Danio rerio: one gene and its partner. Each later gene encodes a partner of the first gene's protein in a complex. Links are inferred from orthologs where the notes say so. Each region holds a gene or a part of one and is shown on either strand. Other genes may lie near its edges. The genes, in order: clspn and chek1.

Region 1 (3,827 bases):
ACCATTGACCTGCATAGTATGTATTACTAATATGGAAATCAAATGATACAGGTTTCCAGCTTTATTAAAGTATCTTTAGTGTTGAACTAAAGAAAGAAATTAAGTGGGCTTGACCAACCACCTATAAAACAGACTTGACTCTTCTCCAAAAAAAAAAAATCTCTCCCGGACTCTAGCACCTAATTATCTGAGCACAATTCTCTTAGCACTGCCTCATGTAGATTTGCTGAATGTCTCCTCACTTGTAAGGCAATTTGGAAATAAGTATCTGTCAAATGACTAAATGTAGATTTTGAAAGGGTTTGGAACAAGTAAAGGGAGAGAAAATAATGACACACTTTTCACTTTTGGGTGAACTGCCCCTTTAATTGCACAGCCCTAATAATTTTCATTTTGACTTTTTCCTATTTAAAGGATGCTCCCCCAGTCAAAGCTCTGAATGACAGCGGCTGTTTGCTGGGAGACTCTGACCTGTTTGATGCTCAGTTAGAGGAAGACTCTGAACATCAGCTTGAAGAAGAAGAGGAAGAGTCTCTGGATGCCATCCGATCAGCTGTGAAAAAGAAGGCCAAGTATAAAGTAAGAAAACTTTTTCTTGGTTTGACTTTTTGTGTGAAAACAAAGTACCAAGACAGAACTGCAAGTAGTTTTTTATGCATATATTTTATATGCATATTTTAACTGCAATAATTAGGACTGGAACTCAAAATGTATATTGTGAATTTACTCATTATTTATGAGTAGTAAAATTCTGATTTCATGAGTGTAAATGGTCAGTAAGCAAAACTAGTTTTGCTCATTTTAACATAGAAATCGGTCACTACTTTAAATTTTTTTAAAAGTTACAATTTGCAAAAAATAGACAAAGTTAGCACAGAATTTTAGTTGTCCTTGTTTAAACGGGTTAAACAAATCAGCTTTACTGAAGGTTATGTTTTATAATTGAATATTTACAGCCTCATCTGTCTGAGTGCAGTGGAGACGAGGAACAAGAAAACAAGCCACAACGCAAGGTGAGATTATTGTAATGATGCTTTCCTCATTGATCGTGTTCATTGTGTGATGTAGCTGAATCATTTATTAGTTTTTCCTAATGATGTTTTTAGGAGCGGAAAGCAGCGAAAGCCAGTAAGGAGGCGATGAAGCAGCTTCACAGTGAGAGTCAGAGACTGGTGCGAGGTCAGTCAGCGGTCACATCTGATCTGCATGCAATTTTAATGTTTGATTTCTGTTTAAAATAATTTAGATTTACACATCTAGTTTTAATATTGCCCTTTAAAATGTTATAAATGCAGTTGAACCAGTCAAATCTTGCACTACTGTTCAAAAGCTTGGGTCAGTAAGATAGTTATGTCCATTTGTTTCAACAAAAAGAAAAATAAATGAACATATTCAGCACAAACACATTTGATTTATCTAGAACTTAAAGTTAAAATTCTGTTATTTTATATTTACCACATTATATGGAAATAAGTATAACTTTTCATACAAGTATGAAGCACCTTAAATGTTAAAAACTGTAAAAAAAAAAAAAAAAAAAAAAACACAAAAACTGTAGTCTATTATTATTTATTAGGCAAATAACAAACTGACAAGCACATTCAACTTCTCAGTGTGAATTTGGCCATTTAAATAATAAAAAATTAAACAATGATAATAATAAAAATAATTATGTTAGGCTCCCCAATTTTTCTAGTCTCTCTTGTACATTTGAAAATTCATAGATGACAACAATAGCCTAATTACTATTAAAATTAACTTAACATGCTTCAGAATGACCTTTTTATTGGACATTTTTTATTAAAGATTAAGAATAGAAGTTACTTGCAAACTTTATATAGTAAAGTATGATAAGCATAACATATTTCAGCATTGTTAATGATATTATAAAATGTTTAATAAGCAACATGGTAATATTATAATAATGTCTAATGACTCGTGTGATGGCTGAAAGAATCATTGCTAAATGTTTAGGAATAATTAACTTGGTGTAAATCCTTTTAAAATGTATATTTATTGTGATATTGGACTTAAGGGTCTGCTAAATCAGTGTTTCTGTTGGAGGACCAACACTGCATGGTTTGGATGTCTCCGTTGTCGCAGTCATTACAGGTCTGTCAGTCTCTGCTAATGAGCTGATGATCTGAATCAGGTGTGATTTGTTTAAAGAGACATGGAAAATGTGCAGAGTTGGTGCTCCTCCAGAAACATGGTTGAGAAACACTGTGCTAAAGGAATTAATTATTAGAAAAATTCTTCACTTTGTCTGTGCTTGCACATTTGCATAGGCTCTTTGTGAGTGTGTTGTTTCTTAGTTTTCTTAGTCTTTCATAGGTTTTTTAGTTCATGTATGTCTGTAAATTTGTTGTATGGAGCATCTTGGTCCCGGAGGCACATTGATTCGTTTTACTGTGTACTAACTGTATATAGTTGAAATGACAATTAAAGCCTACTTCACTAATGTTTCTCCAAATTCTGTGTTAATCTGGTAAATATCATCAGGATATTTACGACCAGTGTTCTGACGATCTGTGCTACCTTCTCAGAATTTGCCACCGGTAGCTTAATCTGTCATGTTTCATCTACCAAAACAGGTTTAGCACATCTTGTCAGCTTCAAATATCTATCAAAACTACTACTCTATTGAACAATGTAGAAAAAGGCATAGCAGCTTTAATTGTCCATCAGAGTGAACTACTGCCTTCATTTCATTAGTTTTATATTTAATTTGTTTATTAGAGTGGTAGTTCGTTCCGATTGACATTTGAAGCTGACAAAATGCGCTACCCCTGTTTTTACACCTTTCTTTAAGGAGGTAGTTCATTCTGATAGACATGATGTGCTAACCCTGTTTTTTTAGATGAAATATGACAGATTGAGCTACCGGTAGCACATTCTGATGAGGTAGCACAGATCGTCAGAGCACTGTGTACATGAGCAGCCAGACACAAGAACCATTTTCCCCCATGCTATTTCCCCTCTGAACCATCTCTATTTTCCTAATATGCACCTTAAACTGTATAAAGCAAAAAAAAAATGTATTGCTTGTTATTAAAGGGCCATGAAACCCCCTCGTTTCAGCAGGGTATTTTTTACACCTCTACTTTGGAAAAAGTCAGAAAAGTGGGCGTGTCCAGCTCTGTTTAGGGGGGAGTGTCGGAGGAAGAAAAGTGGGAGGGTGTGGGAGTGTCTATTTGGGCACGCGCGAGTTTCAGTCAAAATACTCACACACAGGAGAAAGTGATGGTGTTTAACCTACATGGACATCTGTAGTCGAATTATTTGCCAAATGATTAAATGGTGGACTTTAACTGCAGTTTGGCTCTTTCATTCAGGGAATTCATTCATGTCCCTCACAACAAACGAGATATTTGATTCGAGGATCTGCTCTAAGCGTGTATTTTTCATGCAATGTTTGATACCGCACGGCGAATGAGAGAAAAAAAAACCTCAGCATTTCCCGGAAACTTAGATGCACACGGCAGGTAGCGTCAGAAAGCCGCGTGTGTTATTCCGGTCACTAAATGCGGTTAAAAACCCTACACGAGGTTAAAGTTTGGTTGTGGTCCTAACATGTTACGGTGCAATAATTAACTTAGTTTGATACGAACAAACTGAAAAAACAAAGAGCACTGGTCGCTCACTTACCAAATCTGTAGAGACAGAACAATCCACAGCATCTAGAGCCGCGTCTTTATGAAGAGAATACTACAAGCGAATCCGATCTCAGCGTTTGCAGATGAGAACAGCTCTCAGGTAAACAATAATCCTCCTTAGAGACGTAAGCTATTGTTGTCGAGCGTCGCGTACACTGTTAATCCACACGT
Region 2 (4,491 bases), on another chromosome or scaffold:
ATAGTAATGTGCCCAGTTTAATTTGAGTACATTTTTAATTTTACTGGACTGTTTATTTTGCTTATTAATTTATTTGACAATCCAAACAGACCCCCAGCTCTCCAAAGCAGACTATATTGCAATTTCATATCAGCACATCGATAATAAAATGCTTTTCTGTGTGTGTTTGTGTCATGGATATTGCTGCTGAATTTATCTGTGAAGCTGGAACTTCTGCAGGTTTCACCAAGTTAAATTTAAGACTTTTTAAGACATTTTGACCATTATGTACAAATTTTAGACTCATACAGGGCTAAACCCTAAAGAATTTTTTAAATGGCCCAGATAAAAAAAAATATTTATTTTTGCACTATAAAAAATTATATAATTTAATAATACTATGATAATTGAATAACAAATTTAAATATCTATTAGCAAAATATTGTGTCAAAACAAGCAAGTTCTAGCTGCAAACACTCTTTTTTTCAACATAGACTTTCTGAAAAATGGACAAATGTTTTAAAAGTTATTATAATAAACTAAATGTATGCAAAACAGTCCATCCAGGTTAGTGTCCTAAGCAGTAAATACAAGTGGAACTTTTAAATAATAATAATTATTATTATTAGGAAAATAATTAAACAATTATGGTAAATGGAGTTAAACAGGACATTTGTAAATAAAAGATGGATTGTTGGTGATTATATGGATGTTAATGGCCAGATTGGGTAACTATTTATAAACAACTGAAAATTAAGACCTGTTTAAAAAGATTTAAGACCTACAACACAATATTTTAATAGATTAAAGACTTTATGGCCTAACATTTAGCTTTGGAAATTTAAAACATTTTAGGACTTTAAGACCCCGCGAACACCATGTGGAACATTGCATTTTATCCTGTATAAAAATACCATTCAGACGTACCTTTATCATCAAGAAGAATATTCTCAGGCTTTATGTCACGATGTGTAATCCCAACACTGTGAAGATATTCCTGTAAGTGAGATGGAGCAAGTTTCACAACAAAGTCAACTTTGAAGAGTAAATGGTTCTCAAAATACACCATAAAAAAAAAAAAAAAAAAAAAAAAAAAGATCACAAATCTTACCACACCAGCTATCAGCTGCTGAAAAAACCTGTGCGCCTCCTTTTCTGGCATCCCAACATCCGGTTCTGTCAGAAAGATTGACAAAATATACTTTAGATAAATTTTAGGTATTTTAATGCCTTTATTTTAATAAATCAATTCTGACAAGAAAGCAAAGGATGGGAACATTTGTTTTTTTTACAGTTGATTTACTCACAGGGCTCAACAACAAGGACTGCCTGATGGCCCGGGGCCAGCGTGAGAGACACTTGGGATAGTAGACAGGATCATTACGATTGGGAAAGTGCTGCCTTGTCACTAAAGCTTAATTGACCTGCGATTATTGGTCAAATGCAAGCATTTTAAGTTTGTGTTTTTAAGTCTTTAAATGCTACCTTTTCTGTGATGTCGTAAACACCATATTGTTTTTTGGTTGCTCTTATCTGATTTTGTGTATTGAGCATGCTATATTTTTCCCCATAACCTGGTAACAACCAGTGGTGAAGTGACAGCAACATCAAAATATAAGGATAAAAGAAAATGTCTGTGTTTAACATCTTAGAAGCAGACATTTACATGGGTACAACATGAGAAAAATGAAGTAATGTTTTGCACAATTTGCCGTCAGTATTACAAGTCGGCCACCATTTTTTATATAATTTCAAACTGCAATAAAAAACCTGCACATTTTCCGTACTGCTCTTTTTGTTTGCACAACACTGAGAATTTTGCTCATTATAAATATTTATTTTCTAGATTCACAGACATTATTTATGTCACATTATTTAAAATATGTGGCTAAAAAAAAGCTATTAACTTCTCTTTTTTGTTTTTGGGCCTGTAAAAATTTTTGTCAGGGCAAGTAAAAATATGAATCATTGGCCCGATCAGACCAGTAGAAAAACTCCCCAGCGTTGAACCCTGACTCATCTACACGACTCAAAAACAAAAAGGATGCAACAATTATTGAATGAACCCAAAATGTTCAATTACCTATTCGGTCAAAGAGCTCTCCTCCGCTACAGTACTCCAGAAAGATGTACTGTGTCGTCCCCTCACTCCTGTGCCCAAAGAAACGTACAATGTTGGGGTGTGAAAGCATCTTGCATATGCAGACCTCCTTCTTCACATTCTCGATGCAATCCTTGGCTTTTGCCATGTCCACAACTTTCACCGCCACAGCCTCTTCTGTCTTCTTGTTGACCAGCAGTCGCACCCTACAATGATTTGAAGCAGATTAATACAATTTTAAGACTGCAACTGATCAAGATGGAACGAATATGAAGTGCATTGGTCACTTACTCTCCATATGCTCCCTCTCCAAGAGTTTGTACCACATCCCAGTCTTTAACAAAAGGCACAGCCATTATGCAATCTGTGGGCATAAGTCAGTCAGAACAACCTTGTAAAAGCAAATCAGCATAACAAGCTAATAGACTATAACACTTACAGGACATATGTTAGTTTTTAGTAAATAAATATAACAGTAAACATGATAAATGTTACGGGGCAGGCAATTGTAAACAGTGAAACGTCAAATCTGATAGCTTTGGGCTGTCGGATATTAGTTTTAATTTAGCTAAAACAAACATACCTTCGCGTATATCAGAGGTAACGTTGTCCCATGTGAAGCGGTTTGTTAATGTAATTTGTTGTTATAATCACACACCCCCTTGATAAGTGTCTATGCAGACATAATAATACAAGAGCGTCTGTCCAAACTTTGGCGCCTTCTAGAGACGTGACATCATCGGAAATGCTAAGAGGAAAGAATTTTCAAAATAAAAGCTTAAACCGCTAACATGAGGGACAACTTTTTGCGTTATTCATTCATTCAATTATTTTCTTTTCGGCATAGTCAATCTTGGGTCGCCACAGCGGAACGAACCGCCAACTTATATAGCACATGTTTTACGTAGCGGATGCCCTTCCAGCTGAAACCCATCACTGGGAAACTTTTTAGCATTATGTTATATAGAATTATTAAGAACAACCACAACATGCGAAATATAAAAAAAAAAGAAGAAGAAGATTTTTATATCCCTGTTGTGTTTCTTTCATTTGAATTGTACTGTAAAAATATTTTTTGATTTAGTTTTTTATAACTGTCATATTAATGTATACAACAGCAGTATTTAACATTAGCTATATAAGCAAAAGATGAATATGATAAGTATTTTATGCGTTTTACGTTTTCATGTTATTATTTATAAATAAGAAGAACACAAGAAATAATCATGAAATAAACCGTTTATGTAGGGGCTTTTATTTTATTTTCTAACATAAAAGCCCGTCAATAAGTGGGCAAAAGTTCACGGCAGTAGTTTATTTCTAGCATTTCGATATATTTAAAATAATATTTTACAATTATAAGCTAACATAATTATCATCATCATCACATAACTATAGGCGCACATGGGAGGCGCAGATAGGCTGATGCAAAGAGCATAGAGTGATTCTAAGCTCTTTGGCTGATGTATCGAAGTGGTCCTTTTTCGTTGTTATGGCAACATCACTTCAGTTCCGTAAACACAACTTCATTTATTGAGTGTTAGACGGTCGTTTCTAAAGCTGTCTTGAGTGTCAGAAATTAGTAAACCATTTAAAGGGTAAACCTAAATAAATAAGGTAAGAAAAAAATTAACAATGTTGACAGCCCAAAGAAGCAGGATTCGGTGTCGCGAAATTACTGGACCTGCACATTCAGTGGCATTGGTGAGTTATTTGTGTTGACCATTATTAACGTTACATGTTTTATATTGAATATATTAACGTCATAATAATTATACAATAATAATTCTAATAGTCATATAGTAATAAATAACCTTACAATCAGGCCTACTATATCATAACAGACAGGCATATACTATACATTAATGTATACAATGATAGGCCTACTATTTTATAATATTATGCTATAGTAACTATAGTAAAACATTTTCATTATACATAAATTTTATGTGCCCAAAGAGAAATCTATCTATCTATCTATCTATCTATCTATCTATCTATCTATCTATCTATCTATCTATCTATCTATCTATCTATCTATCTATCTATCTTTCTATCTATCTATCTATCTATCTATCTATCTATCTATCAACATTAGATAGACATTAACATAAGTTTGTCTTCAGTAAAAGAGAGAAGGTAGAAAGATAGAAAAGACATTTATATGAATGGAGCTTTTATGAATTCACTCCAAATTTGTACATTTCAGAAAGCAAGACCTCCTTTATCCAGAGACATAGATGACATATTTGTAAGGAGAAGGAAGCAGGAGGCGACGCGAGGCGAGGTGCTGGAGTTCACCAAAGATCAAAGCTCATGTGATGTGAGAATGCGATGGGAAAGAAACACACAGCGCCGTGTGGTGTCTGCCACTGTTAACAGACATCTACAAGATGCACTAGATCAGTACC

The links.
Region 2: the proteins of clspn (region 1) and chek1 are in contact, whole or in part, in a crystal structure (PDB 7AKO), measured with the Homo sapiens proteins. The link is inferred for Danio rerio from reciprocal best matches to the Homo sapiens genes CLSPN and CHEK1. Residues at the interface, in NP_071394.2 of Homo sapiens: Glu938, Leu940, Leu941, Leu943, Cys944, Ser945, Gly946; in NP_001107593.1 of Homo sapiens: Lys53, Lys54, Cys57, Met61, Arg129, Thr153, Val154, Phe155, Arg156, Tyr157, Asn158, Arg160, Glu161, Arg162.

The regions. Positions count from the first base shown.
Region 1 is NC_133194.1:50,563,884-50,567,710, reverse strand, and holds part of clspn (claspin), read left to right. Parts: intron 1-414; coding exon 415-579; intron 580-956; coding exon 957-1,013; intron 1,014-1,106; coding exon 1,107-1,179; intron 1,180-3,827.
Region 2 is NC_133196.1:24,017,148-24,021,638, reverse strand, and holds the start of chek1 (serine/threonine-protein kinase Chk1), read right to left. Parts: upstream 2,894-4,491; 5' UTR 2,664-2,893; intron 2,445-2,663; 5' UTR 2,437-2,444; coding exon 2,372-2,436; intron 2,287-2,371; coding exon 2,131-2,286; coding exon of another isoform or gene 2,063-2,130; intron 1,156-2,062; coding exon of another isoform or gene 1,091-1,155; intron 977-1,090; coding exon of another isoform or gene 963-976; coding exon 907-962; intron 1-906. UniProt on the Homo sapiens protein: Serine/threonine-protein kinase which is required for checkpoint-mediated cell cycle arrest and activation of DNA repair in response to the presence of DNA damage or unreplicated DNA.